Linked DNA regions of Drosophila melanogaster. The protein of the gene in region 2 interacts with the protein of the main gene of each other region in a pairwise test. Each region holds a gene or a part of one and is shown on either strand. Other genes may lie near its edges.

Region 1 (13,185 bases), 4.8 Mb from region 2:
TTAATCTCATCGAGATGTTTAGAAAGCTAAATATACAGGTAACTAATAGAAACCATTTTTTTCTTTAGTATAATCTGTCTGTTTTGGATCTCCCAAGCTTTTTGGCCAAAACAAATGATAGTCGCATTCGTAAACGGACTTAGCGTTCCTGTGCCCAATCCCGAGTACCCCGCTATCTTCCATATGGCCGGCGACGTCTGACTATCGGCTTTTATCTATTTTAACTGCGAGTTGTTAAAGCGCATTTTCGTGTCGTTTGTCGATTTGTAATGCCAGCCATGAAAATGACGCTGACGATGATGGTAGCTTGCGGCCCGTCCCGAGGGAGATGCACCACCAGCGACCCGCGACTGCGGCCGCACTTTGAAGTTGGCTAAGTGGCGCCTATGGACCCGGCTCGATGTTTTCGGGGCCAGCTCGAGATCCAGTTGAGTACCGAGGCGGGTTCAAGAGGCCGCCGTGCTAGGTGGTCAACGCTGGCTAATTAAATGTGCAGGGAGTGGGGGAGTTGACAGTTTCGGCTTTATGTCGGCTTTTATGCACCCATTGGATGACCCAGCCATGGCCTCAGCTCTATCGCGATCACATCTGCACGGAGAGAAAAGCAGCTTAATAAGTTTATTAGATTAGATTATCTGGCAGAGGAGTTTATTAAATGGGCGTGTGACACAGGCATAAGCTAAATGGTTTTAATTCCATTTGAACAATTTAATATCGCAGTTAGAATCACATCATTTATAATTTTCTCTCCCTGTAGAAACAATCGTTACTCGACTGTTATTGGACATGAACAAATGCGCGTTCGCCTTGGCCAATTTGCAATTAACTTAATAGAAATTCAAATGCATGCAAGGCTCCGAAGATTAGCGGATCGCTCTTGCCAAAACCCCTTCACCCAACCGGTGATTCCCCCATTTCTTGCGCCGTTGTACGTCTGTCATAATTCCGGCGATAATGTCAGTGCGCTGCAACTTGTATAGTAAGTGTGCCAGGGGATCGCTGGCGAGGGGCAGTGCGGCGCTGTGGCATCTGAAAAATGGCGCCCGCTGTCGTATCTTGTTGCCTGTCACATTGAATTATTATTTTACGGTCTCGCCAGCCCTCCGCTCCCCGCTTTTAGCCAGGAAAAATGGGAAATGAAACAGGTTGGTCGCTAATGTTTTAATTCGCTGCTGCAGAGGATGTGCCGCTGGCTGCAGGTGCGGCAGCTATTAGTGGTACGCTTATTATGGATTGCCGAGTTATGAAAGCATAAATACAATTGCGATTCCGATATACTTTATGTGTCCGTCTGACGGGGCTAATTAAAAAGCGTATGCGGTAGCAGTAGCTCCTTTCAAGACGGCTGTTCATGCAAAAGGGCGGAAAAAGATTATGAATTTTCATTACTTTAGGATGTCGTGTATACACTTAATTCAAATGCAATCTTTTAGAGCTCGAAATGATCAAAAAATAGCATAAGATAACCATCAGAGATAGAGAAATATACATTCATTTCGATTTACAACTTTAAATAAGATTTTAGCCCTCTTTGGAGCAGTTTTACAATGCCCGAAAAAAACAGAAAAGAAGTGAATATTTTCTGGTCAGCTTGGGCATTTGTAGTGCTAGTGTGATCATTCCTATGCTGTCCATTATTTTCTATAGTACTCCACTAGTTCCATTCCATTTCGATGCCCTCGAATCCATTCCATTCCACTTGCACAACTTGACGCTGCACATAATTTTTGCCAACACATTCCATAGCTGCCGGGTGCTGGGACCGCCGTCTCATTACTCATTCGCACCGCAGTCTGGAAACCGCAACCAACTTGGGGCTTCGGTCCAAGTGGTAGTCTCTCCAGTGGAGCCGCGGCTTGAGTTCGAATCGGTAAACTTGGAGCGCCGGCCAGAGCGGACGCTAATAAAAGCGGTCGTAAAACAAGTTTGCCTAATTGATCGAGCGTACGCCAAAAACAAAAAGAAGGCTCGGACAAAGAGAGACCCCAAGCGCAAGGCGTTAATACCATACCTCCTTCGACTCGAACTCAAACTGGACTCCATTCCCGGGCTGTGGGGCATTTTTGCCATACCATGCCATACCATCCGAGCCATGCCATCCGTACCGCCGACAGCAGATCAAAGGCAGCGGCTGCGGGCGGTGGCGTTACTGTGCTTCGGACAGGCTTTTAAGCGATGACACCAAATCGCTATTTAGACACTGCTCCAATGCTTCGGTGATCCGCGCGAGATCTGGGTTCCTCGTCTCTGGGTTGCCCCATCGCGGGTCTCTTGCCTGCCAACTTGTTAAGATTTTATGGTCTCGCGCTGTGGTCCGTGGGGGTCATTAAAATTAATTTGGATCAATTTGGTTGGCTGCCAAATTGTTGACAATGAAATATAACGATCTCCACCAAGGTACCTCGCATCCTGGTAAAGCCATCAAAGTCCGAGTGCCTTGCGTTTACAACTTATTTATTTTGTAGAATTAAAAAGAGGCTTAAACATACAAAATCGTAGGCTTCATTATGGGCTTGTGCTGTCTTGGGCTAAACTACCTCTATATAGAGTATAGCGATCCTAAGTGGTTGGCACAAATCATTTCAAAACTATTTGCTGTAAGCAGTTGACTAAAAGGAGGAAGACATTTGCACAGTTAAATGGTTACTCAAGACCCGGAAAACCCGGCAAAATCTTCCTCTAACTGGGACATTGGTCTTGGCTATATAGTATGACTAACGGCTAGGGCTTAAATAAATATTTTGGCAATTTTTGAAATTTGGGTTTGGTTAACTATAGGTTACTTTAGTGCGTAGCTTAAGCCATAAGTCAAAGCTAGCTTAGTTATTCGATGATCGCTCTGGCAGACCAGTGCGCGTGATTACGCTGGGGGTCAGTTCAGTGTTGGAGCTGCGACTGCTTTCGATGGTGGGTACTCTATAAGGTATGATTATTATTGAGGAGTCCGACAGGGTAGCGAAAAGTATCTTTAACTTACGGCTGAACTATCTGACGGTTTATCGGCACCGTGCCGGGCAGATGGGGCGATTGACTCTGTGGCGTTGATTGCTGACTGTAAGGAGAATGGCTCTCGCCGGTCACGTGATGACGGGCGGACATGTTGAGCGTTCCGTCGGGGGTGGGCGGCGCCGTCGCATTCAGCGAAATGGACACCACCCGTTGCCCACCCGCTTGACCCGTCGTCGACATGTCGTGCAGCTCCGGACTGGAATTCTGCTGGCTATTAAGCTGGCTATTCAGCATGCTAACTGGCACTTGGGAAGGATACAGCGGACTGTTGGCCATCAGGTTGACTCCCTGCGACATGCCTGGTTGGGAATTGGGATTAGTTTATTGCATACTGTAATCCCTGGCAGGTGTACTCACTCGGCAGCGGTGCTCGGTGCATGGGTGCTCCTCCGTTGTTCTTAGGCTTCCGTTTGCGCTTCTGGATGCCCTCCTTCTTCATCGACAGCGGTCGGTTCATGTTGTGCAGCTTGTAGTACAGTCCGCAGGCATTGCACACCGGATTGCCCTCGTTGTTGCGACGCCACAGGGTCGTCGAGTTGGTCTGACAGTTGGCGCAGGTGACCCCGTTGCGCCGGTTGTTGGGGGCGGCGGCGGCCTTGGGCTTCGCCTGCCTCTGGGTTATACGGGGCGCCATCCGCATAAAGGCCGGGCAATTGGGACAGAAGTACTCGCTACCCTTCCGCAAGAACGGCCCATGGCAGTTCTCGCACTTTAGCTCGTGGTTGGGCGACGATGTGGACGAGGCGGTCACCAGACTTCCATCGTACTGCCCTATGCTGCTGGCGGGCGGCCAGTGGGAGGTGCTCATATTGCCGCTCCCGTATTCATCAATAACCTGCGGATGGAAGTTGCTCTGTGCAGCATGCGGGAGAACAGTTAGTATGTACCGCCTCAAGAACCAGTAACTTAAATTATACTTACAAATTGAACACTCTGGTACTCCGGCGGGGCGGGAGATGCCCATAAAGGCTCGATGCCGTTGCCGCCCTCAAAAGATATCGTCTGAAAAGTAGCCGGTCCAGTCTGGCGCAGCAGTCCAGTCTGATTTAGGCCAGACTCGGACTTGGCCAAGAATTGACCGGTGCCCGGAACACTGTAAATAGTGTTTCCCTGCTGAAGCGTTGCCGCATAGCTATTGCTACTGAAGCTGGAGCTGGGCGGGAAGGGGGCATATGCGTTGCCTAGGTCGGCGTAGGTCTTGGACTCGTTGGCATGCACACTGCCATCCACCACGGGTACATCGTAGTACATATTCGAGGCGGATGTCTCCGGTCCGGCGGTGGTGAAGCGTACATCCTCCGTAACGAAGCGCACGGTTCCACCATGCGAACTGGTGGCAATGTGAACCGTCTGGGCCGCCGCCGATGCTGCAGCTGCCGCCTGGTGTTGGTGGTGTTGCTGCTGATGCTGCTGCTGCTGGTGCTGCTGCTGCTGTTGGTGGTGATGCTGCAGTGCCTCCGCCTCGCTGCTGATCACTATGGTCTCGCCGTAGCTAGCTCCGTTGGGTGTGGGACATTGCTGTTGCTGCTGATGCTGGTGTTGCTGCAGTTGCTGCTGCTGTTGTTGCGACTCCCCCGTCGCCTCTCCCTTCTCGAGTGTTTCGATTTTGATCGCGGCCACATCGTCACCGTTGCAGATAATAGGATAGGCGAAGATGGTGCCCGGCGGAGCTCCGGCAGCAGCTCCCACCTGTTCCGTCACCTCTGCGTTGCGTGGCGCCATCTGCACGTAGTGAGTGGCTCCGGGAGATTGGTGTGCACTGCGCTGGTACTCGATGTGGCTATCCGAAGCAGATCCTGAGCTCGCGTTGCTGGCGTTTGTGCTCGGTTCTCCTTCACGAGCTTCGTTTAATTCACTGAAATGTTGTTAATAACACTGTTAAATAACAATGGTAAATTGTAACTATCGATTGCCATTTGCATTAGATGATTGTGTTTAAAAATGAAATTTGTGAATGCTTATGTTCTTAGGAAAAGAAGGTCTCCAGAGGTTACTTACAGTGTGCCGGCTGTGGTGAGAATACGGCGCTGGTTGCGTGGCACCACCACGTACTGCTCCTCCGGTTCGCTGACGCCCGCTTGGCCCGTCTGCACCACCACGCCCACCGATGTTGCGGCTTGCTGTTGGTGTTGTTGCTGCTGCTCCTGCTGCTCATCCAGATTGTTGGCCGTCTGCTGGGCCAACTGATCGGCGCCGTTGCTGGACTCGAGTTTGATTTTGTCCAGCAGTTGAAGCTGCTGCTTGGTTAGAGCCTGATGCTGTTGCTGTTGCAATTGTTGCTGTTGCTGTTGCTGTTGCTGTTGCTGCTGCTGCTGCTGCGTTGTCTGCTGTTCCATCTGCAATGAGCAAGCGACAAGTGTTGAATGCCATGTTTCGCCCGGCTCGTCTCAAAAGTGTGGCTCCAGTTCCGGCCGTTGCAGTGCGAACTGCCCGCCTCGGTTTCCGCCACAAAAGTCAACAAGACGCAAGCCCAACCAAGACCGCTGAGACGGACTTCAAAGACACCGCCCGCGCTCGACTCACAGCTCAATTTGTCGCCTACAACCGTAAAGTACCAGAAACTGAGCCGAACGGAGACGGGCTTGGAGGCGACCCCTCTCCTTTCTACCACTCAGTTGCTCAGTGTCAACATTGTCGAACACATTTTTCACTTTTATTCCATTTCATTTCCACCAGCAGAAGTATTTGCTCACAGAACCCTAAACTCAGAGCGGTGCCTTGGTTTCGTTTTCATTTTTCTTGTGTATTCGTGGTTTTTTTTTTTTTTTTTTTTGGTTTAGTTTGGCTTTTGGCGGAAATTAAACTTGGCCATAAAATCGCTTTGCTTTCCCCGCCATACGTCAGTCGCTTTTGGGTTTATGACCTCATTCCGTTGGGGGTGGCACTTCCACTTCCACTCCAAAGCCCCATACCCATCCCCATCCCCATTCCCATCCTCGAGCTTGTGTCAACACATTCGATCGTCACTGTCACCTGATTCACGATGCGGCCAGGTTGAAATTTACCGCCAGTCCGCTCATGACAAGTGCCATATAGCTCAGAGGCTTTCAGGTGGTTTCCACCTTTACCATGGCTATAAATATACCAAAAAATGTGTGTGCTTATGTGTAACCATCACCACCGTCAATTGAGGAAATCCACAGCAACACTAAAGGAAAATTTTTGTGGCCATTGAAATATATTGCAAAGATAATTGCTTTTAACTGAGATATAACCATATACTTGTACAGGTGTTTTTTTTTTCCGAAAATAATCACCACGCTGAATTGATTTAATACATTCCATAAAAATCCCCACTCTCCCTTTATATGAAAAAACTAATACTTTATCTTCCATTTAATGAAAATTGATTCACTTTCGCAGAACTTTAGGTTGACGTGCCACAAATGATTGATACATTTTTTGCGTGGACACAAGCCAAGTTCAATGATGATTCAGTTGGTGACAAGCCGTAAAAATGAAAAATCTAACGCTTACCAAGGTACAAAGTTTAATTACTTATGTGGAAGGCATATAAATGGGGGACGAAAGAGTTCCATGGAAACTGATTGCATTCCGCCGGCGGTGATGACCGTGCCAAGTTTTCAACGTCTTGGCCAAAGTTCAAAGAATTCCCTGGATGGAAAGGGTGCGAGATAATGTGGTGCAAACGTCACTTCAGACAATCGTCTGCCCGAAATGCAGATAAACCCGACTTTGAGTGTGTGTATATAGTAGTAGTACGATAGGTAGGCCCCCATGCACGTGCCATGTACCGCGAAAAAGTTAAGATACTACGGCCGAACGATACGGACAATATCTTATCCGGGCGCTATCAATGTACATAATCAGCTGCTGCTGCTGCTGCTGGGACTGAGAGGTCATGGTTGGTATCCCCCAACTGCCCGCACCCACTCTCAGTTGCGGCTACGTCATCAATAGGGACAGATATATCCAAGAATTACAAAAGTTGTGCAAGCGATGTTTGTCACCCGAGAATGGCAATGGCATGCGCTATTTGCTCGGCTTAGTCAAGAATCGTTGCGAGGGTGTGGAGTCCGCTGAACTTATGAATGAAATCTGCCCAGTCACACCCACAACCATACACACACACACACACACGTACATTTCGTACTTTATCTATATAAACAAAAGATATTGACTATATAATCGCACCTCGTTTCGCTTTCGTTGAGCTTGGGTTCGTGGTTGAGCAAATTTCAAAGGCAGCTCTGACCAAACATTTTAAGGCATTTAGAACTGAATAGAACTATAAAACTTGAATATAATGCAGTTGTGATGAATGCTATTTTTGTTAAAATTCTAAATTTCTCGAGGAAATTCTTTGCCAGTTTTACTTTTTATTTTAGACTTATAAAAAAATATGAACAATTTCTTGGGTAAGACTGCTTAAAGGCTAAAGATGTGAGAGCACTTTCAAAATATCTATATAATTAACAAAAGAATGGGAAGTAAATAAATGTACCCATTTTTGGATATACATTTATACCCTTTATATCTGCCCTCGTTAGAAGATCCTTCGATTAATTAAACTTCACTGCAGTTGGCTAATGAAAGTGAGATAAGACTCTCGACTGCCAGCTGCATTTACAGCTCTATTAAAGGGCCATCAATCGCAACCTTCGCCCTCTCTCCTATCAGCCATCATCCACTGTCAACTGGCGACGCGTGTCTAATAAAAGTATCTGCAACTGGAACTGCAACTATCGATGCCGCCATTGAGCAACTGTTAAGGGACTGTTCTTCCATTGGTCGAAAGGACACTTCCGGCAGGATAAAAAGTACCCCCAGATGAGCCAAGGGTTGGCATTCATTCACAAAACCAACCCCAAGCCCATGAAGGATACGCTAGAGACAGGGATAAGGAGCAGGACCAAAGCGAGGTGATAAGATTGACATAAATTTCACATTATCCGTGGCCAGCAAAAAATGGGTAAAAACAGTCCCTTTTCATGAATGAAGAGGAGCGAGCAGTTGAAAGTCGGCTGCGTGTTTCAAATTTTATTTTTGTCAAAGGTATTTTGACGCCACCTTCGATCGCAGCTGAATTTGGACCTCATAAAGATTAGCCATCTTTCCACATTTAACTTGCTTTCTTGTTGCCCCGTTTTCGTACCCATTCTCGTTTTCTTAATGGTTTCGGTTCGTTTCGGTTCGGTTTTTCTTCCAAGAGCAGACACCAAAATAAGTGTCGCAGTTTGCCGCTGCATCCCAGATGACTCATTCATTATAAATCAATTTGTCTTATCTTATTTCCCTGGCGCTAGAACTGAAAAAAATCCATATCGCTGCCGTTTGCGGGCTAAAATCATTTTCTGGCTCGGTACACCGAAGGATGTAAAATCTATATGGCTATTCGAGCTGTAAATACCTTTGAAAGCTCTTTATACTCCGTTAATTAATAAATTAATATTTATTCGTGCCTTGCGACTGATCTATAAACTTGAACTATCTGCTTTTAATGACCCTATATGGCCTGTCTATTTAGCTTAATGAACTTGTGTGAGAAAACGTTAAAAACTTTTATGATCTTTCAACAAAGTAGAAATGATAGATAGGCTTATAGAGATCTCGTAAATGAGCATCAAAAAGGTATTTAAATGTTTTTAATAGAGTTCACGTATAGTTGCTTTAAGCGGTCAGGTTGATATTCTCCATTCCGATATGGATTTTAAACGGAATTGGTTTTGAAAAGAAAATACCGACTTGGCAAACTTAATATATAATACCCAAAAATTACGCTGACTATTTTTGAATAATTATAAGTTTATTTTACCCACCTTCAGCTGCATGTTTACACTCGGTGAGATAGTTTTGCAGACCATCAAATTGAAGTTACGCCGCTTCTTTGCGTTTCTTCCAGCGTTTTATCTAAGATTGGTTTTTATCACTTGATTTCAGTTCTGTTGTGTTTTCAAAAATTTATCACAAGCACGGCTTGTCCAGGTGTTTGGTTCACTTCTCCTATCAATCTGGGCGCCCGAAAAAGTGCCGCGCAAAGTGAGCAAGTGGGGAAAATTGGCGAAAATTGACGAAAATTGGTAACTTGGGAAAGTAGGAACTTTGGAGCTTTGGGGGCGATCTAATGCTGTCACCCGTGGGGCGATTGTGGTTGTGGCCCGCGCGCAACCTTTGCCAGTTAGCAGTGATACGAAGTGCTATTTTTTCGAGACCAACTGGGCTCTGGTGGTGGCACTGGTCTCCGGTCTATGGGCTCGATACACTAAACACTGAGCACTCTGAGCACCAAGCACCTCACTTGCGATGACAACAACGACGGCGACGCAATGCGGTGCCTGCGGCGCGTTTGCCGCCCAATTAGCTACCCACACCGATGAAGATCCAGCGCCTCTGCGGTTGGGCGGCCTCACACCTGTGTGGGTGCGTGGTCCTGTCGGTGTGGCAGCGTTATGATTTATTCTGTACCGCCTCGCCTGGTATTGGTTATCTTATCGACACACATGCGATAAGATACGCAACGAGTGTTGGTGCCACGGTTGCGATAAGTATCCGTGAGATACAAATTGCGCCTGCGCGCTCGGCCGATTTTCCAACACACCTATGTTACACCAATGTTCCGAGGTTTCCGAAGAGTGGCGTCAAGAGGCCCACCAGCCGGCACAGTTCAGCCAGCACCACATTTGATTCCATTTCCACCCTTCAGCGCTCCTCACCCTCGCCCCCTGCTATTTGTCAATTGTGCAATTTAGTCTAGCGCATTTTCTAATTGCACTCATAAAACACTTTTCTGGCAAACTAATAAACTCGAGCAACGTTAGTCAACGTCAACAGAATATCATCGGATCGGGCTTGGGCCTGGAAAGTGGGACTGGGCATGGGCATGGGCACGGAAACTTTATATGACCCCACGAACAGTCGCCCGAATGTGGGCCGCTTTGACAGCTCGACTGCTCGGTTGTTGCGCTCCACTTCCACTTCTCCAGTTCTTCTAGTTCTCCACACTTCACAATCCACTCTCGAGTGTTGTAACTAATAAACACCGCCGGAGGAGGCGGAGGTGGAGGGCAGGAGCACACGTGGTCGAGGATCAGGTGCGGCGCATATATTGCAAAACCCCTGAATTGTCACCAGCCAGGAAAAGATTGAGTTTGAAGTGGTTGGGTGATTGGAGTGCTTGGTCAGAAATCTGATATATTTTTCAACCTGTCAATTACAGATACTTTGTAAGCAGAGATGTATGTGTAGATAAATATTGTAAACATATCTTTACTATATATAGGGATGTAGTAGCTAAATAGTACATTTTATAATAAAATGTATATGAAAACCATGACTTAAATTCTAAAAAATTCAATCTAGGCTTATATGCTTAATGCTAAGCCCCTATGGCAATCCGTACCAACTCCTTGCTTTCTTTTCTTCGAAGAGCTGCAATCTGTAAGTTAGCCACATATCTTGGCCACCCAGCCAAGTTGGCCCAGCGAATCATAAATTGTTTATAGTTAAAGTCATAAAGCAAGCAGATATATGACGGCCATTAACATGCACAATCCCCTCGGAGTTGCTTATAATGCCACAATTACGGGCAACTTTCCGCTGCTCCCATGAATGGAAATCGAGTTGAGGCGATAATTTTAATTGTTGCAACGCATGCGGTGCATAAATCATGGGCAAATCTTAAGAGCAAAACCGGCAGACAAAAAGTATCTAATAGTAGCTACTGCTGCGTGTCGCGAAATATCTGTGCGGTGATTAATCACTCAAAAAGTTGACGGCTATGCCAGTTTCGATCGTTACAAATGGCGCTACACGAAATCAACATTACAGGAGATTAATGCTGAGGAGGAGGACTCCAAACTGGATACCCGGCCACAGGACTGACTCATCGAGGTGGCTCTCTTGCCACGGCAGAGCCGGGCAATTAATACCCTAATTGATGGCACCGCCGCGCCTAGCTTTAGGTGCTTTGCCGGCGAATTTACGACCCTAAGACGGAAGACTTAGGGGCGGCGAAACAGACAGAGTCTTAAGATTGCTGACCATGGCATATCGTGTACACCCGGAATCGTACACCCTTCAACTTGTCCACCTCCATGGAGTTTCAAGTGCTATGTCCGTGAAAGACCATAGAAGCGAACCAAAACCTTAAGAAACCATAGCCTAAAAGTTATCTAGCCTCAAGTGTTCTCGGCCAGTTGACAGTATCGCCGATCTTTGTCTGGAATGACGCTATGGAATTTAATTTTTATATATTCTTTATTGCGCTCTTGTTTTGGTTATAATTGTATTATTTTTCTAGCTTTCCTTTTTGGTCTTTTTCCAATTTTGTTTGGCGGCACAAACGGGTTGTTCTGATAAGGGGAAGAACTCTTTGGAAATTAAACGTGCCAGTGGCAACAAAGGCGTGCGCCATAGTTTTAATTATAGTCGGCAGCAGGGGTGCGATCCGATTCGATCCAAAGTCCCACCCCGCATGGCTGGTTGCCCAATCCCTGCCAGCCGCAATGGCGTGGCTCAATCGAATAAAAATGGAATGGAAAGATGGAGATGCAAATGGAAGTGCCGTAATGGCTCTCCCTTTTGGGCGGCTGCACTCTGCGCTTTGCAACCGCTGGCAAATTGGGTTCAAGTAAATTCTATTAACCCGCGCCGAGGTCATAAATCATCCGGCCAAAGCACGCTAACAACATTTCGGACATGAGTTATGAAAATGGAACTGCGCACTCCGCACTGCGGGATTTCATGGTCCCAGGTGGAGGAAGAGGCACTGCCTACCAGCTGGAAGAGCAGGAGGTCCAATTCCGCAGAAGGAGCTGGCAAGGAAAAAGTTAAGCTTTCTTTGTTTACGCTCCGAAGAGTTGTCACTTGGCTAACGAATGTTCATTCGTTTATTTATGGATTGGACACTCGGACAGTGATGTATCTTTCGAGTGAGTCAGGGGAAAGTTCGGATATCAGAGAAGAAACAAGAGTTTTTGTGGAGGAGCTTGTTGAGGAGCGGTAAGTATGTTATTAAACCAATAACTTATTATTTATAACCAAAACTAATACAATTTTTATCCATATCTTACTATGATTTCAATTAACATACATTTTCGATCTAATGCATATTCCATTCCAACTGCATAGCCTCTTGCGATTGGCAGTGGTCTCTTTTTTGTGAGACTCTCTTGCTTGTTTGTTAAGTATACGCACCTTTGTTTGCCAATGGGGCCAGGTTGTGACTCATCACTATAACTGGCAATCCATAATAATCCGACAGAGGTGCTCAGTGCGCTTGCTGCTGGGCATTGTTTTGGCTGGGAAACGTAAGACATGAAACGGAGGCCACAACGGCAACAAAACAGCAACGACATCGACGCCATTAACGTTAACAATCATGGCTACTGGGGTTGATTGGGATCAGCACTTGGAGTGGGTACCCGGAGTGGAGTACGGACTGTGTTGGGTTTTCGATTCGGTTTTGGGTAGGTAGCTGGTTAACTGACGACTCCGTCGACCCCAAAACGCATACAAACATTATTTATTACTTATGAGCGCTGACATTTTGTTGTTCGTTGCTTTCAAAGCCTTGCGATTTAGCCATGAGAAATTTATGGATGGGATTCTCGTTGCCACCGATTTGAGTTGAAATTGGACCGAGTTGTAGCATGTCACTTTTCCGCGGCTGTCTGAGGAAAAATGCTCTTCTGGAATGAAAACTCCGTTGGGTGTTGCACACCCGCTGATTGCTCCTATCAACCAAAGCGATTTTCCCTATCGCCAACGCCTCTAATACGGCCCGTACGTATGTATATGGTATACATAGAGGGACATATCGAATATCTGAGAATAGATAGTGGCCTTAGATAAGTTAACGTATCTTAACAGAGATTTCGACTCCACAACTAGAATTTAGAGATATCCCTCCCGGTGGCAGGCCCCCAACAAGACCCAACCGAAATCGTAAGTCAATCGGTGGCGGATACTTAACCTAGTGCACGGCTCCTCCTCTTGGACAAACATCCGAGTCGGTCTTGGAATTTGCTTAACCGATAATGGGGGAACTCTATGTGTGACGTCGCCAATTCCGTTCGAGGCGCGGGATTGGGGATGGGTTGTGGACAAGGGGACGAGGTTGACCCAGCTAGATAAAAGTATCTAATCTTGGCTTTTTAGCGATACACGACCACCAATGCAGCCGTATTTATAAGATAATGAAGATTTCCTATCAAT
Region 2 (8,467 bases):
GTCGTTTTGCAGTTGGCATTTGGCGTCCAACACACTTGACAATCGCTCGCACACACATTTCACAGGTATTTTGGGTTTAACTGGGCTATTTTCTATTATATTTCGACAAAAATCACTCGATTACCTCTTAACTTGGTGTGCGGATCCCGAAAAAGAAAGATGGCGCAGAATTATCGATGGGCCTATCGATTTTTGTTGTGCAACTATCGTGTCAGGCGTTAGTGAATTGCATTTGCATGTCTGGCAATAATATTGAGGGACGGGTAGCTAGGCTGGTCAATCGATTGCTTCTATCGATAACTTAAAGGGTAACCAGTCAGAATTCTGTTCAAAGGGTTTGGTATATTCTCGAACTTTAGTATTTTATAACGGCTTTGTTAGCTTTAAAAATCGATGTACTTATGTATTAATAATATTTAATATACTTTACTTCAGACAGATAACACTATTATTAATGTTTTTCTTTAAATTTATGATTTTCAAAGATAACCCAAAGCAAATAATAACTTTAATTAGTTTAGGGAATATACTGCGTTCGTAAATTTAAATACTTATTTAAAAAATAATAATATTTCAAGAAGTGCTAACTTTACCCGTAAACAATCAAAACTGTACACTGATAAGTTTCATAACTTGGCATATATGAGAGGTTAGTTTCCATTTGATTATTAGGCAATCACTTTTTAAATCCTCCTGCTAATTAAAAGAGTTATGAGAGTTACTTTTTAAAGCCTGAAAATAATTAAATTTGTATTATATCATTACTCGTAGACCGAAAATCTTATAATATTTCTGCAATATTACACGAATAAAGCTTGGGCTATGGTCATTGGCCATGCCATTGTCTCCTTTCCCTCAAAGGATCGCAAAAGGACAGTCTGGCTGACGCCTCGCTAAGCCAGCACACCCCGATTACCGCAATCTACGCAAAATGGGTATTACGTTGAGCCCAAAAACTAGTCCGCCCGCAACCATCTTCAGCGTTTTCCCAAGTTTTTGTGGGCCTCGTCTTACGAGTACAAATGAACCATTTACGGAAAATGGGCCATAAGCATGCGCCTGCGCTTGTCCTTTGTTTGATCCGCAGGGTGGACGGAAGAGGGAATCCTGGAGGACTGTGGGCTGTGTGTTATTCTACGCCATTTGAATAAATATTGCCGCATTGTTTGTCAAACAGGACTAGATTAGTAACATAAACATTCGCTCATAGAATGCAAATCATAAGCCGATTTGACAAATTTGCACGAATTATCTACGTCTAATGAGTGCGGCTTAGATTGGTCACGATCCTCCGAGGATGTGGATGGGCACTGGATGGAAATCCGGAGTCTTGAAAAGAAGACCTTGGCTATACACTATTAAAGGTATATATATAATTTAGGGTTGCATGTATTAATGATCCTTCGATACCAGATACGAAATTTAATATTACTCTCAACCCTTCGACAACGACCACCTTTCGATGCTCATTTAAGATAGCAAAGTGTCGCGTGCATTTCCCTCTTTATGTTGTCCACTTCGATTTGGATAGATATCCCAGGCATTCCCCTACGCCCATGATCGGATTTACTCGGGATTAGGGGCAGACAGCTCCTGGATTTGCGTAAACTCATTTGTCTGACCTTGTGGCTGAAAATGGACTAGGGAAACGCATCCGAAATCATTTCCCCCAAAATCACTGTTTGGAGGAACTGCCGCTTTGTAAACTGATATTTTACAATGTTTGCACACAAAGGCAGCGGAAAAAGAAATTACTCTTGACCATAAAAACAACGGCAACAATTGCCAAATCGGCTTAGCCTGCCCCTCGTCTTTATTTCGCCATTTGCTGTTTTTCCGGCACGCGAATTTCCACATTTTCATTCACCTTTTCGTGCGTATTTTCCCATATGCGTTTCATTTTAAGCAACACATACATATGCATGTATTATCATATATGTGGGGTCGGCATTTTTGATCCCATTATGTGATGTTGGCATGAGAAAAAAAACAGTGAAGTCAATCAGTTTCCGCATTGAAATATTAAATTACTCAATCTATATTCGATTTGTTTCAGGTGAAATGGATGTGAACTGGCGGTTAATAAGTAATACTGCAGTTCTTTTTATTTTATTTTATTTTTTAAAGCAAATTGGTAAATTATAAATCATTTATTGATTAAATTTATCTCACCTACTGTTTTACTTACTTTTTAATGTCTAAGAGTTTTAACTTTCTCAAGTTAAGTGCAATCTTGCATTAAAACTTGTTTTTCAAAATGGCACTCAAAAAATGAACGTTTGTGTTACTGTGCATGATATATTATATTTGTTTAATTAAAAGGTTACTAAATGGCACAAATCCAGCAACAATAAATTTTCTAACTTTTAAAGTTATATTTAATTACCGATTAATTAGCCGACGGTATTTCGTAATCTGAAAGGGAAACGGCTTCCTTAGGATTCCTTGAATCGTTCGATTCTCGGAAAAGATAATATAAATGAGGTAAGGTACCCAGATAGCAAAAAGTTAATCAAACCTTAGTGAATTTCAACCGAACACTTCTGCCAATACATCATATCAATTAGGTGTACTTCACATTTCCTAGAAATCAAAAAACTGTATTTGTCGAACCAAAATAAATACATATCTACAAGCACTTCTTCGAAATCGTTGAATTGAATCGAAATAAAATAAATTACACCCAAGAATCATTAAATATGTGTGTACTAGACTGTACTCTCTAAGTTAAAAGAGTAAACTAATATAAAACTAATTTGTATGATAATTATATTAACAATCTTTTGAAATTCAAGTTCTGCATGACTGACCGATTTTTTTTACAAGGCCGTGCAGAATTGTCTTTATAAGTTCAGAAGGTTGTTTTTACAAGTTAACACCAAAGTTAATATCCAGTTTAAGCGTGGTTTCAAATATTATTGGTTTGCTGAAACGTTTTAAATGATAACCCATATAAACACCCAATAATTTCAAATTAACAGATTTAATATTGTCAGATTGGTTCTATATGCTTATGGGTCTACTTAGTCCTATAATGTGTATTTACAGAAAGCCACTAAATTCGTAACAGTAAACAGTCCTCGTGGATATCCTGCTCCAGCTCACGTTACAACGATCATTTCCGGTTCCGGACTGGAGGCGTTCGATGAGAAGGTGGAGTCGCAGCTCTCGTCCTTTTCGCGCTTCTCCCGTCGCTCGCGAGCCCTTCGATTCTGGAACCAGATCTTCACCCGCGTATTGGTCAGCTCCAAGGAGTCGGCTAGTTTGTTGGCGTCCTCGGCGCTCAGATAGTTGGACTCCTTGTAGGCATTTTCCAGGGCCTGCAGCTGCTGCGGAGTAAATGGTATGCGGGGCAGGCGACCAGGAGTCCTTTTGGCGGGCGCATTTTGGCGGAGGGCTCTGGGCAACTTGGGCGGATGGTACCGGGTGTACTGCAGCCAATCGTAGACGGGTATCTGAGCCTCCGCAGCCGAGGCTGGAGGAGATCCTCCAGACTCCTTTGAGACATAAGATGCTGGGTGGGCGTACGGATGGAAAGGCAAGCTGGCACGGAGTCGCTGCAGGACGCCCAAGGAGGCATTGGTGCCCACGTATCTGTCGCCGGCTCGGTTCAAAATATACTCGATGCTGAAGTCACTCATCGTGGCGCGATCCTTTCGCTGTGATGGTCGAGTTGCTACTGCTGAGCTGGCTGCGCATCCACGAGCTATTTATGCAAGGACCTCCCATCGCCGCCATTTGCATCCCAGCAGATAGTATCGCCATCCCTGTCTGGCAGGACGAAAAGATTGGCCTGGCCCAATTCCATTCTCATTCGGAAGCAACGAGCCGCTTAATAGGCGTTTCCCTTTCTCGCCGTCCAGGTAGAAATCCGCTGGCCCACCCAAATTACCCTCTCACCGGTCCAGATTAGGCCCACGAAGGCAATGAAGTACAAGTACACGTGTTCAATTGTCTCTGACGCCCTGTAAAAGGTTCGCCGTGATTCGAATTCAGTTAAATGATTGTATCTGAACACCCTGACTACAGTAATAGGAACTTTAAAGTAGGAGGGAGAGCTTATCATATACTGAATTAAATGTTTGGTATGTGTATATGTGCTTTATTTCATACATATGCATAAGTGACAATGCTATAGGTTCTCATGAAATTCCCAACTTAATTAAGTCCGATCCTAAAATTTAATCCAGTGCCATATAATGCCATATGTATGTCATATGCATTTATAGCCTCGCTAATGAGTTAAACTGATTTTCTAAAGCTCTAAGCGAAGCGCATCTGATCTTCGGTGTATAATGATATGCCTCAATACAAATATGAATGTGATAGTTTTTGATTTGTTGTGGCTTTGTTGGCGATGTTCGGGGTAGTTGCCCCCGATATGAAATCATCCGCTGCCATGTTTTTCTCAAGCCCGCCCATCCTATTTCATCCCATTCCACTTCAGTCCATCCCTTTCGATGGGAAAACAAGTTGAGCCTGATATGTTTTGATGCTCGTATGTTTTGATTGATTCGTAAATTTGTTTTCATAACAGTTGCCTTTGCGAAACGAGTTTGGAGGCAACCCTCGCTGAGTTCCTAAAGTATCAATTACACTGTTAATTGAAAATAACCACCGAATAGCCAGCATATAAAAACCACAATAGAATACTATCTACTTTGCAAAAGAGAGGAAAGCTCGTAAATGGCAGCTTATCAACGACTTTCATTTTTCTCATATTTAAATTAAACCAATTATCTTATTTCAAATTTTCCTTCTTAGTGGGAATGCTATTTGACATTTTGACTGATGAATGGAAGATAATGAAACTCAAAATATCACTTCAACTCGGCATACACACGTATGAAAACTAATTCATTTTCATTATTCTTCATGGGACTTTTTTTTAATTTTGAGCCCACAACCAATGATTTAAGGGAAAACTTATCTATCATTATTAACTGATAAATCAAACGGGTGCTTACTGTTAAACAACAAAGTAATTATCTAGGCCTTGCAACTCTGGGTGTTCTTTTTTCATATCTAACAAATTGATAAGCAAAAGGGAATCTAGTTTTGCTAAGCCGAAGCTCTTATACCCTTACATTTATGAAAGATTTATTTTTATCGACTAAATCCTGTATGCGTACTACTACTCGAAATCCATATGCAAGCCTCTTTTGAAATTATTTAACGTATCTTTAGAAACTTCTTAGTTTCCCCATGCGTAGAAGGAATTCTTTGCAATTCCTATCCACAAATGGGTAACAAATTGAATGGAACCGATGCAAGATATAAGCTTTTTGAAAATGTCATCACTCCCCGTTTACAGCACCATTGTATGTCATAGTTTCGTGTTAACACTTACATAAATCAAAAACCACTAACCTTTAGAAGCTTACTTCATTTATGATAGAGGTCTTCAAAAAAGCATATGACAACCACCGAATTAGTAAAACACATGCCACTGTCATTCATTGACTACTTGGTGGGAATCTCGATTGAATAGGTTTTCAGTTATTTCAGTATATTTTCAGTTAGTCAGTTATACTTTTCTGTGCCAAGTAACTATATATTATATTCCCCTAGTTTTAGACTTTATCCTATCCTATCTGCCTCTCTTAAAGCGTTCAATACTAACGTTTTTTATCGAATCCAGATACCCGATACATATATATGTATATATATTTAGATAATCTAGGATTCGCTCTTTGTGTGCATTTATGTTTAATATGAATTAAACGTTTTCCATCCTTATAAAAGAAAGCAAACTGTGCAGAACTGATTTGGGTTGTTGATACAACTTATATTTCTAAGCGGCTGTTACAACTAGCTTAAAAAATATTTACAAAGATTTGGGTTAATTAGAGCCAGTATTTTTTTCTAATCACTCGACAATTACCCGAGTATCTGCCAATTGTCATGTAATTGTCAACTAATTTTCCATTCGCACAATTTGCCGAGCTGCAATTACGTTTGCCAAAAGTAGTAGTTGCCAGCAACTAACCATCCGGCCACAGATCCACCCCAGTGATAAGATTCCATTGCTCCGGAGAACAAAGGCTCCGAGATCCGAAAGATTGCAGTAGCGAGTCCTTTTTTGTGCGGTCTAGCGGTTGTCCAGAGTTTGCAGTTGGAACTCAGCAGATGCAGTACTTTTTGGTCTCCTTAACCGACGAGCATCTTGACTTTGCGGCGTACGTGTCTAACCGACTGATGCTGGGCATCTGAGCGGGAATCCTTTGGGCACTGGCATCCCAATCCACGGTGGCCTCGAAGAGAGCGTCACCCGGCTGGGCCATCAGCTGGATGAGATACCGATTGGAGTTTCCTCTTCTCTGGACTGAGGATATTCGGTTCAGTTTCAAGCGACTGCACCGTTTCGTTCCTTTTTTGCTGGCCACATATTCGTTAATGGCCTCCACCAGCTGGGTGGACATGCTCCTGGCGCTGGGATCCGTTGTGGGCACGTCGGAGAAGCTGTTGCATGCGCACCAGTGATCCTCGATCCCGGCCTGTGAGCAATTCCTCGACCAGTCCACCTCCTCGAAAACGCTGTGACAGCTGGAGCAGCCATCGGGACGAGGTAGCTTATCCTTGGGAGTGTCTAGCTCCAGGATGTGCCTCAGGGTGGCATGGATATCGTATGGCGACGTCAGGCGGTTCTTGTTCATCTGCAGGTTGCGCAGGAGCTTCGGGTACTTCTCACGAATCCAACGCGGCACACGGATATATATGAAGGGCAAGCGTTCTTCCACGAAACCGCTGTCCAAATTCCTCAATGGTCCAAACCTGGATCCATGATCGCTGAAGAAGATGATGATGGTGTTATCCATTATGCCGTTCTTGTCCAACGTCCGCATGTACTTCACCATCCTCTCATCCATGGCGGAGGGCATAGAGAAGTCGTTGTGGCTGAATGTGTTGGTCCAAAACATTCCGAAGAAGGTGCTGTTCCGGTTGACCATGGTGAACTGCACGCCCATGTCATAGATGTATTCGGAAGCCGGCTTGCGGCCCAAGCAGTAGGGCATCTGACCCCGTTGTAATATCGTTAGCTCCTTCTCCACGGCCAGGACCAGTGGTCTGCCGTACACGTCGGTCGGAGGATTGAAAAAGCCCCTGCTAGAGTAGTCAAACGTGGAGAACTTGCTCCAGTCCTCGGCGAAGGCAGTTGTGTATCCCTTGTCCTTGAAGTCCTTCCAAATAAACGGACAGGCATCCAGGCCACGCACCTTCTCAGGATGGCAACGTGCGTTCGCGTAGGTCTTGTTAAATCCCGTGAGAACCGCCATCAGATTCGGAAACGTATTATCGCCCATCTAATGTAGAAAGGCTTGCAGTTTTAATAAATCCATGTGTTTTCATTCAAAATTAAATTATTGTTTACCTTGTTGTATCCCTGAAGCTCAAACCAATGTTGATTGTTCAAGTACTCGTACATACGGGGCATCGTAAGCTCAAGATTCATTCGGGAAATGGAATCAATGCCCCACAGCAAAACGCTGGGCCTTCTTCTATGCGGCGTTGTGGGATTTTCGATCTGATCCTTTCGCGGATGCACAAAACTGAAGGCATCCTTTTGCGACACCTTATCGAATGGAGGCCGACGGCAATAGGTGATCATGGCACTCACTTCTGTTGGCACCAAGAAGTCCTGGTGAAATTCTACGCAAGGACCCAGCCTGCCGGGATACTAATCTTCAGTGTCCATCTCTATGTCCTTGGAAACTTACTTGTACTTATGATCCGCATTGGCTGAAGTTCCTGCTCGAAGGATCTGCTTGAAGCAGCAGGTGGAGTTCTCGTTCTTGTGCAGCCTGTACGTGCTGTCAGTTACATTGTAGTTGACTGTGATCATGTCGCGACTTTTATCACACACTATATAGGAATGTTTCTTGTAGATGTGCTGAATGTTATTGGCAAACGGATTTGGGTGGCTCATTTGGCACTGCGGGCTATGGACGAAGTATTTCTTTCCATTTCCTTCCAGTGCATATAAAGTCTCTGTTTTCGATGCTCCAGTAGCTGGTGATGAAGTGCTACTTTCTACGACTTCATCCGTGTGGTCTACGGTAGTTATCTCAGTTTGATCCTCGGTGGTGCTCTCAGTATCTGCTAGTTTATTATAGATTGCTTCCGTAGATTGCTTCTCTGTACTCAGACTACGAGTTGTATGCTTAACATTCAAAGGACTCGACAGATCTCCGGGATTATTGGTCCAACCTGATCCCGCAAGGAGTCTCATGGATTTCCAAGGGGAAAATGGATCTGCATTGTTCTTGAGCGGATTATTGGCGCCGCTCAAGGTATAAATGACCAGGGTAAAAAGCGCCAAGACAACAAATAATATTTTCACTATCCAATTTAAAGGTTTTTTACTTTCGTTTGGTTCTTGCTCCTCACTTGGAACAAGTTCATATTTAATTTTCGTCATTATAGAATTGACACTAATCGAAAACTAACTTCTCCATTAACATAAATC
Region 3 (10,439 bases), on a different chromosome or scaffold from region 2:
CACTGGCTGGAAACATTCATATATACACATGTGTACATATAAATACATACATATATCTCGCCCCTATTTGCAGTGCGCAACGCCAACAACAGAGCGGGAATATTCAGCGAAAAGTGTCATTATGTGTACACACAACGTAAAACGACTCCACCTACAAAAACTCCTCCTTCCAGAACATCCGGATCCGAAAGCCAACAACGGCAACGAACCGACGGCGCAAACAAGGAGAAAATGTGTACATACAACAATCTCGTTATGTCGGCATTATCCTGAAGAATTCTGGTTCGTCCTCGTCACTTGCAGCGCCATAAATCACTCACACGCTTGGCCCATTTCCCCCTGTCGCTCTGTCCCTTTCACCCGCTATGTGTGTCTTTTTCTGGCCTGCTCTGTCTATCACATTGTTGTTTGTTTTGTGTCCCAGTGTGTTTTTGTGCGTTTGTATGTGAGAGGCGCGTGCCCCGCTCTGATGTCGTCCTGCTTACACATAGACGTAGTGCCTTTTTTTAGTGGAATCTTTCCAGCGATTAAAAACTTGAATACACTGAAAATAAAGTCAGGTAGATTATGTAGGGTTGATATTATGTATGATGATATTATTACTGTTTAAATGTAAGCTTACTTCGCTCAAATATTATTAAAAAATTTTTAAGGGAAACTTAAGGGTATTTACAAGCCCAACAGTATTTTTCCGACATTCGCACATTTTTGTTGTTCAGCATTTTTATCCCTTGGTTTGCCAGTAATTCACCCCGCGGTGACATTTTGGTGTGACAGACAAGACGTGTCCTTCGTCCTTTTTGCATTTTTCTCTGTCGGGTGTCTGTGTATGTGGTAAGTTTATCGTTTTAAATGTTGATACAAGCCCGGGTTGTGGTCCGCTGCCTGTCCTTAGCCCAGTCCGCATGGGGATAATAGGATGTTGAGTAAATATTTAAAAACTCCCCTCGCCCACTCGGTTCTAACGGCACATACCCCTCGGGCTATTGAGGAATCGTAGGCGACCTCCAAAGTTTGGGGCTAAAACTTTGCCGGCTGTGCCCGCTCTTTTGCGATGGGCGAAAAAGTTTAGGGGGTGTGAAGCAAAACGAGCCGACGCTGGCACCCTCTAATCCAGTTTTTGGCCCCGACTCTTCGGCCAGGACACTTTCTGGCATAAATCATTTGCATTCAAAATGAGACCAATGAGGAAAGCCTGCGAATGAGCGTCGAAGATGAATGCCGCAGAAACAACAACAGCACCACCAAGGGGCCGGAAAAATCCTTTCAATTTTCGCACACATTCAATTTTATTAATTAAAACAATTTTTTCTCCCTTTCTCTTAGCTTCTTTTTCTGTTTGTGATTGGAGGAGCTTGGGCAATTAATTCCAAACATTCAGGACGCTTTTTCTTTGTTAAGTTTCGGCATTTTTTGTAGTGTTGTTTGTTTTGGGCGCAAATTATACTCCGCTTGCCTTGCGCGAAATAAAATATCACAAACAGGGGCAGCCTCCATAAATAATGGGAATTTATGCCAGTTCCAAACATACGCACCCGAACAGCCTCATAGACCTGAAACAGAAAAGGCAAAAACCAACATTTCCTCCGAAATTACCATTCAATCATTTTGTAATTGCCAGCTCCAGAAAAAAAAAGAAATAGGTTCTAGATATCTTACTTCATTTATTTGGGCCAGTTCTTAATTTCGCCCATCTGTTCTAATAAGCCTTTCACTCCATTTCATTTTGCATTTAAATTGGATGCTTTTTCATTACGGTTATTCAAGAAGTAGCCCAAGGAGATTCAAGTTCATTGATTTTAATACCTGTTACTCGTAGAGTTAAAGGGTATACTAGATTTGTTGAATTGGAGCGATTCCCTGTAAGGTGTCCATAATTATTGATCAGGATCAGTAACCGAGATCTCGGGAACTATTAAAGCCAAAAGCATCCAAATTCTAGTGGCGCCCACGTTGTGCAACCGCGTTTTAGAAACTAAACTAAACTGTCACGACCATACTTTGTTGTGTCTTATCTTTTATTGTTTGTCTTGTCAATTTCCATCATTGAAAAAATGTGTGCATTTTTTTTATTTTACTTGGCCAATTTTAAATTTTTTCGCTTTGACTCCCACTATTTGAGAAACGGGTATCTGAGAGTCGAGAGACTCGACTGTAGAGTTTTCACTTGCCTTGTATAAAATAAGAAACAAGTGAGTCGGCTGTTAAATACCCACTACTCTTCCGAAAATACAAATCCCATGTCTAGAGGCTTGTTTAGATTATGTTTTGATTTTATTTAAATCAATGTTGTGGCTAAGGCAACAATTGACCGCAAGAAAATGAGCATGGATTTGTAAGTGTGAGAATCGGTGTAGCATTACCAGTATCTGCACGTTCTCTAAAAAAAAATCTTGGTGTATAATTGAGTAATATGCTTTGATATGCTTTCATATTAATTCTGTTTAAATCAAGATATAATTATAATCTTAAAGCTAATCGTAAATATATAAAAGTATTAAAATGTATAAGGCAACAAAATATATAAATCGCTGACATTTTCCAGAATATCCGCTGGGCGCCAAATCTCATTTGGACAATTTTGCAATTTTAATCAGCTATCTTTATATCTGCACGGGGGTTGGCCTGAAAGACAAGACCCCATTCAGACACTTTCGCTTTGTTTTTGTACGGCTCCCTTGCTGCTGTCCGTCATAAATCTATCAAGTTTAATGGCCGCCTCAGCGCTGCACATAATTTTATGTATTTTATGCTGCAAATTGTTAGCCAGCGCGCACACAAACACAAATCAGAAGGAACAACCCTCGGAGAGCCACCCAGCCCAAGAAAAACCCCTACCCACCCACCGTACGGATCCACCCCAGAGGAAAGGCGAAGACGAGAACACGAATTTCCACGCACATCTCCGAAGACTCACAAATTTCATAAAGTGGCAATTCAATCAATCAATTCTGACAGGGGGTGGCCATTGGGGTGGACTGCACCCAGTCTTGGCCACCTTAACCGTTATGCTCACGTACACAATCACACAACTCAAACTGATTTTGCTACGGATTGGAGAAGTTGGAGTGGGTGAAAAAAAAAAAACACGAGTGCTTTGGAGGGAAAAACAAAAGCGAGGGAAGTTTTCTTAAAATTCCCTTTGTCTTGTTTTTAACAGCCCCGCTTTTTCGGGGCAGTGTTTTGCTTCGAAGGCAACGGACTTGTCAGTCATTTAGTAAGTTTAGACCCAAGACCTCTGGCAGCTTAAATATATTTTTAATTGTCTACCGAGGGGCGCCCTCATCCACCCGTCTAAAAACACCACCCTTCTTGTAGGCATTTCCAGGATTCGCAGCTCTCCTGTTATCCTATATTATTTGCGTTTCTGATTCGCTTCTGCTTTGTTGTCCGCTTTTCGTCCTTGCTATTGTCAATGTCTTGGGCATAGGATACATTTTGAAAATAGAAAAGAGCATGAAGGACATGGTTGACAGGGTCGTTTAAACAGATATGTCCTTTGCGAAAGTACATGGAAGATAACGTCTTGGTAGAAATAAAATTCTATTAATTTTTATTTTTATTTTTATTAATTTTCTTTTATATTTTTCAACTAATTATTTTATATTATGTTGTTATTTTTTTCAACTAACTAAGATGTTATCTTATATCTTCCATTTCTAAAAATTTCAGAACTTGAATTAACTAACTCCTAACTTCTGAGAGGAACGATGGCCAGTGAGCGTGGCCAATCTGACACGGAATTGAGTGACATTTCAATGGAGTTTGGTGAGTGAGTGAGACAAGGAATAGCCATTTCTTCATTGTTGTATTCACTTTGGTTCGGAAACTGGCCCTGCGCAGAAGTTTCGTAAAAATGCTGCTCTACAAAACAATAAATCAGCGACAAATTTTGCAATTTAGAATTTAAATGTTTTCGATTACCAATCGAATACATTTCAATACATTAATTTTAAGTCATTTTTTATGAGCTCCTCAAATGTTCATCGGCTTACAGGGCACCTTACCTTCCAATTTGTATATACGTATGTATGTATTTATGGCCAAACTATTTTCCATCCGATCTTTGGTTAATATTTTTACCCGTTACTACTTAGTTTATATTTCTTTCGATCGATATGTCAGAAAAATGTTGAAAATTCTAATTCGCACTTTTACCAGCTTTGTACCTTGACTATAGGCTGGCTTAAATTCGTTCCATGCAAAAGTCCGTTTTATTAATTTCCAAATAGACCAAAGAGGATATATGTTTGCGTTTATGTTTAGGGCTCCTTTTAGAAATAGTTTGGATATATGAAAACATTTTGAAACAAGGAAATTCCTTAAAAAATTTTGTTTTTTATGTTTTATAGCTTTTACATACATAAAAAAATTGTTTTTGCATATTGATAAAAGTTGGAGAAAGAAAAAGGGAAAATAAGAACAAAAGAAAATGCTATAGTCAAGTTCCACTACTATCAGATTAAATGTCATCATTTTTTTGTCATAGCGATATTTATTATATCGATTTTGGCAAATAAAATGAGAAGATATGACAAAATTGTTCTAATATGTTGTCCTGGCCGTTTTGTGCGTTTTGTAGGTAGTTAGGAGGGGCGTAAACAAAATGTTTTTGGTACAAAGAATCTATAAAAATTGGCAATTGACATTTCTATTACAATGTCTCTAGAATCTGTATGCTTAGTCTCCTGATCTCGACGTTTATAACGACGGGCATATGTATATGGCCAGATCGACTGGGCTATCAATGAATGATACATATGTACATATATTGATACATATGTATCAATGAATTAAACCTGATATAATAGCAAATACAGCTCCTATAGATAACACATAATGAAAATGAGCTACTACATAAGTATCATCTATAATAATATCTACTTATGAATATGTACATATATTCTTTCAACGAATCTAGTATACCATTTTACTATAAGGGCAGAAAACTGAAAACATTTTGTAAAAGTGTGGGAGTAAATTTTTTGGCGGTTTTGTGGACGTTGACGTGGGCTCGGCAACATTCTGCAAAAACCTTGATAGCTAAAAATTTCGGCTTTTTTAGTTTCCGAAGTCTCGACCATCAAACGGACCAACTCTTCTCTCTATGTCCTTTTTAAACAACAAGTAATAGGTGTAGAAAAAAACAAGTTTTCCGTGTAATTGTTTATTTAATAATATATTATCCTAGGGAGATGCAATCCTAGTAACATTTTTTGAATAGCAAAGAATAATATTTTAAATCATGTACATGTACGTTAAATGTTTGAAAAAACTTAACAAAAGTGAATTTTTTCGTTACTATGTATTCGTCGACGCATTGTTGGTTTACCTTTATTTTTTATTTCATTTTATTTTCTTCCGATTTAATTTGTAAAATGATTAATTTTTTCAGAAATGGCGACAAATGGAATTAAATTTGTTTCTCCCATAAAATTCGAAGTAACTCATCCATCTTTCGAAATCACTCAAACATGCGAGAGCGAAACAGAAACCGGTCGCGCTCTTGTGCTCACGAGACAATAACTGTTCTTGCTCTTTCGCTTGTCGAATTTTCGAAAACAGTCTGTGGACAGAGGCGTTCGGATGAGGGTCTCGAACTAGGAAATTGTTACAAAATATATGGTAACATTTCGCTAATAATAAACAACGAAATATTTATTTATTAGTTCTTAAACGTACTCACAAAACATAGGTACCATATCAACCACTAATAGATTCTTTCAAGTTGTTAGCTTACACGAAAATGTTTTAACCCCCTCTTGAGATGTACGCCACTGACCCTACAAACCGCAAAACAGCTGATTTTTGTCGGTATGCAAGCAAACCTTTAATTAATGACAATTTAATGGCCAAAAGCAACCAAAATGTATTTACCAAACAATAATTCCATAGTATTTACCTTAGTTCAAGTCGAAACATAAATATGTTCATTTTATTTTATAATTTTGGGGTATACATATGTATATTACGAACCTGTGGATCGGAGTGCAAGTAGCAAGGTTGGATTAGAGGAAATAGTTTTTTCTCATCAAAGCAGAGCTTAAACACTGTTGCTGATGCGTATTTTCATTTAAATTCGATAGAACAAACTGTAAAACACAGATAATAAAACATAATTCACAGCGCACTTTTCACCAGCAAGCGTACGACGCACGCGACGAGTTGCTTCTCCCACAAGAAGTTCGAAATTCGAAATCGTTTGTGCAACTGAGAGAGAGAAGTTCGAATATTTGAGTGGTTTTTAAGTTCGAAAAACACCAGAGATTTCTGATTAGGGGGTAATTTACTTACAATTTTTTTTGATTGGACTTCGTGATCTTTTTCATATATACATTTATCGAGCTATAATTCCTAACGGTTAAGGTCTATTGGGGTCTCGAGGTTAATACGAACGGATAGATTGAGATGGCTATTGATCTTAATAAAGAATATTTGGATCGGTTCTGTCTAGTTTTTTTACTCAACTCTTTTTTACTTCTTATTTAAATATTTTAAGGTGTAGAATATGTTTCGCAGTTGTGTCTCATCGTTTGTGTCCCAGATATGTATGTATTTACAGCTGTGTTCAATAAAATAGCAGTGCGAGGGAAACTAAGAAATACAAAGGTATTTTCCCTTTTTGGAATCGACTTTTTATTTCACTTATTTTTGTAAAATGGAATGTGTATATAGGAATAAAAAGAAAATCCCAATAGTTTTTCATGTTATCCTTTTCTGCTTAAATTCTTGAGCAAATTCACAACTTTTATGCTGTTCATAAGAATAGCAGTGTCTGGTTTTGTCCAACGTAAAGTCCCGAAAATATCAATATTTTCTAACGTGTGTTTGGTTCGTATATTTAAAAGAGCAATAATTAAAAAAAAAATAAATAAAAAATATTGTATATTATAGTAGATAGAGAAAGAAAAGAATGTTAATTCACCAATCAAAGAAAACATTTCACACATATTCTGCCTTCAGTTGTGTCCATAGAAATCGGGGACACAAGGCAAATCCATTTATATTGCGAAATCAAAACCATTTTTCCATGTCATTGGAATCCTCCACTAGAGGTGAACTAATTGCGTGTTCAGCGCAAAATCTTTTCGATTTATCGCCTCAGGTTGATTTTATGCTTCACATAGACACCACACAGCCGCTGCACATCCACATATTGATGCAGCATCCAAAGGACCGAAATGAGAGGTGGGCTCCAGAGGGCAACGGAGCGAATACCCGCTGATTTATACGCTTCAATCCCACATTTTTGTTTCTTCGGCTGCCATTTAGCTAAAATATTTCATATCCGAATTGCATCGCCGTCTCGAGCCTTCGCTCCTTCGTCTTCGTTTGGCTGCCAGGCAGAAGACTAGAGCGGGACGCACTGATGGCAGAGAGTGGGAGCGAGAGGGTACGCAATGGACAGCCGCTTCCCCGTAATTATGCGATTTGTTATTCGAGATTTGAGGCGATTGTGACTGGGCACCATGTAGGCGAGGAGGCGCTGAAGAAGCAGCAGTTCCACCGAGAAATGATTTAAACTGCGATTTCAATTCTGGCATTTCTGATTCGCCCAGTGTCTGTGTTGCAACTTGAGGCCCTCCCATACCATCTCCACAATCCGCCGCGCGGACCCCGGACACCGCAAGCTGAATTCGACACGCCAAGATCTGAGTATCCCAAATGATAATGCTGCGGCCATTGCATGTGCGATGGGCAGTCAGAGTCGGACGGGCGGACTGACTCCGGACCAACGGACAACATCCATTCGCTGACTGACTGACGTACTTGGGGGCTGACTGATATGGGTGGAACCAAAAGGCTCACAGAGCGGCGAAGTCTTCTTGCTGGACGCCCTGCAGCAGACATTATAGCCAACGAAAAATATTGGTTATATATTACAGTTTCTCAATATTTTAGTCAGATTCCGAAACCAAGCGAGAAAAACGAGTCATCGCTACCCTACATCAGGACAGTAAATATATGTAAGTATACTAGATTGTAAGTGTACTAGATAAGAATGTAGAATCAGTTTTAATCAAATGAAGTATATCTTGTGCCCTTCGTACACCCCGTGGAGCACGACTACAGCGTTCGCTCTTGTACAGTAAAAGGGTATACTACAAAAGATTCGTTGGATGAAGAAAGCATTTTCGACTATATAAAGTATATAAATTATTGATCAGGATCAATAGCCGAGTCGATATAGTTATGTCCGTCTATCCGTATGAACGTCGAGATCTCAGGAACTATAAAAGAGAGAGCATACAGATTCTAGACCCAAAGCCGCAGCGCAAGTTTGTTGACCCATGTTAGTGGCTTACGCCCACAAGCCGCACAAAACGAAATTTCGAAATTCGAAATTTTTCCATAAATTTATAAGTCTTAAAAATTTCTATCGATTTGCAAAAAATGTTTGCCATGGCTTTAACGCCCAAAAGCCGCCGATCCGCTCACGCCTACACTTTTGAACAATTTTATAATTTGTTCTCATTTTATTTCCCAATATCGATACCGATATTCCAGAAAAATTATAAAATTTCGCGTTTGGATTCACACTAGCTGAGTAACGGGTATCTGATAGTCGGGGAACTCGACTATAGCCTTCTCTCTTGTATTGAATTAAATTGATATCTGCTAATAAAACGCAATAATAAAACTAAAGAAAATCCCCGTTTTAAGAATATGAAAGTTCCCTACATTCTAAAAAATCTGGGTAATCCATAAGTCAATGGCAAATAATAACAATAAAAGTTTTTCCCATACCCAAATGCTATATGTAAGTTAATCTGTTTAATTTAATCGCTTCATATGTTGTTTAAAGCCAAGTATTTAAAAAATATATAAAAAAAATTAAAACTAAATTAAAAATCAAGCACCGGCATTTTTGCTTGAGTGCTTGACCTTGTGTGCGATCTACCGCTGAGTGTTGGCCGGGCTTGATTGCATGGCCTTCGTCTTCGTCTTGGTTTTGGGCTTAGTCTTCATCTCCATCGCCGTCCATCGGCATCGTCCATCTTGGCCGGAACATTGTCAGTTGGTTTCGGTCTGGCATTGGGGCTTGGATAGGGGCTGGCTTTCTGAGATTCGTTAGCTCTGGGAGCAGAGACTTGAGGGCATAAATCACTCTCGTGGCTGGACGATCGCGGATCGAGCGTTGAAGGGGAGGGTTACGGTCCCCACTTCCTTCAGATGCTTCTTCTCCCGTTGATTAATAATTAATTTGTGTTGCCTGTTGCCAGTGATTGCCTGCGGTTGCGTTGTCTCTCGCTCAGCTCACCTGACGACCTGACTCCTTTATAATGAACGGTTTGTGCACCAGTGTGAGTGTGTGTGCTTGCGACTGTAGCAGGACATTCGTCGTACATCATCCCATCCCAAAATGCGCGCCCAGTGCTCGTCGTTCGATGCCCGGCCTGATTGCTTTAGCTCACTGGTTGCTCCTCCAGTGCATAAATTCGCTGACTCCGAGCTGGTTCAAAGGAAGTACAAAAGGAAGGAATACTCAGACGGCAGCGGCATAAATTAAGCGAATGGTGTTTATACACTCGACAATAAATCAATTAGCAAATTTGTTATTATTATGTTCATAAATCTTCACATCCACTGAAATCCACGATTAAAATATTTTGAAATGCTCGAACAGCACCAGAGGATCACTATTTAGTGATCGCATCTCGGATCTTCATTGTGCAGGCTTCTAAAAAGATGAGAATTGGTGGGCGTGGAGCGACTAGCTGTAGCATGCAAGCGAAAATCGCTGACTTACTTCGCAAAAAGGGCCTGATAATTACTAAAGCGTTCATTTCCTATATCATTTATCATATATTTTTGAAATATGAATTATATAGACAATTGAAGTTGGTAATATTTTTTTAAATTCTGTCAATTTTCAGTTGTGTGGCTTACTCAGTTTCTGATTAACAATCAATCAATTTCGCGTGCGCCATCTACTGCTGCTCCGATGAATGAATCGACTTTCGGCCTCGCATGCGTCACTTAAATTCAGACAGGTGACGCCCACAACTTCTGTGCTTATGCGCCATTATTAACACGTCATAACTTAGCACCAACCGCAGCCATAAAGGTTATCGAGGGAGGAAACCATCGGGCCACTTAGTCTTCGCCAGGCTCCAAAAGTTGCCATCAATCAACGCGGAAAGTCCGTCCAAAGGATAAGCAAATGACGGGATGCAAGTGAGTCCTCCAAAGGGACGACAGGTGCCAGGTGGCGGGATGTAAGGGGCAAGACCCACCTCAACCCAAATGCCGCTTATTTATGCAGAGCGCGCGGGATGGGCGAAGCCGCAAAGTGATTTTAAATGGGACCCATACACCAAAACACTGAAACACCGAATCACCGAAGCTCTGAAACCATGAATCCGGAGTCACAGGCCGTCAAAGCTCTGTTGATGTAGTCGTTCTCGGGATGTTGTCCATGGGAGCTCGGCATACTG

Evidence for each region.
Region 1: the proteins of CG15696 (region 2) and GATAe interact in a two-hybrid assay, tested with the Drosophila melanogaster proteins (one large-scale study listed by BioGRID).
Region 3: the proteins of CG15696 (region 2) and CG31612 interact in a two-hybrid assay, tested with the Drosophila melanogaster proteins (one large-scale study listed by BioGRID).

Annotation. Positions count from the first base shown.
Region 1 is NT_033777.3:16,008,388-16,021,572, reverse strand, and holds GATAe (GATAe), read right to left. Parts: upstream 9,300-13,185; 5' UTR 8,835-9,299; coding exon 8,790-8,834; intron 5,346-8,789; coding exon 5,008-5,345; intron 4,865-5,007; coding exon 3,931-4,864; intron 3,863-3,930; coding exon 3,367-3,862; intron 3,309-3,366; coding exon 2,978-3,308; intron 2,917-2,977; coding exon 2,820-2,916; 3' UTR 2,440-2,819; downstream 1-2,439.
Region 2 is NT_033777.3:20,842,285-20,850,751, reverse strand, and holds CG15696 (uncharacterized protein), read right to left. Parts: upstream 3,685-8,467; 5' UTR 3,642-3,684; coding exon 3,102-3,641; 3' UTR 3,004-3,101; downstream 1-3,003. Other genes in the region: CG15695 (uncharacterized protein), read right to left, coding at 6,123-7,304, 7,373-7,667, 7,719-8,419.
Region 3 is NT_033779.5:21,789,270-21,799,708, forward strand, and holds the start of CG31612 (uncharacterized protein), read right to left. Parts: upstream 6,179-10,439; 5' UTR 6,125-6,178; exon of another isoform or gene 5,977-6,124; intron 1-5,976.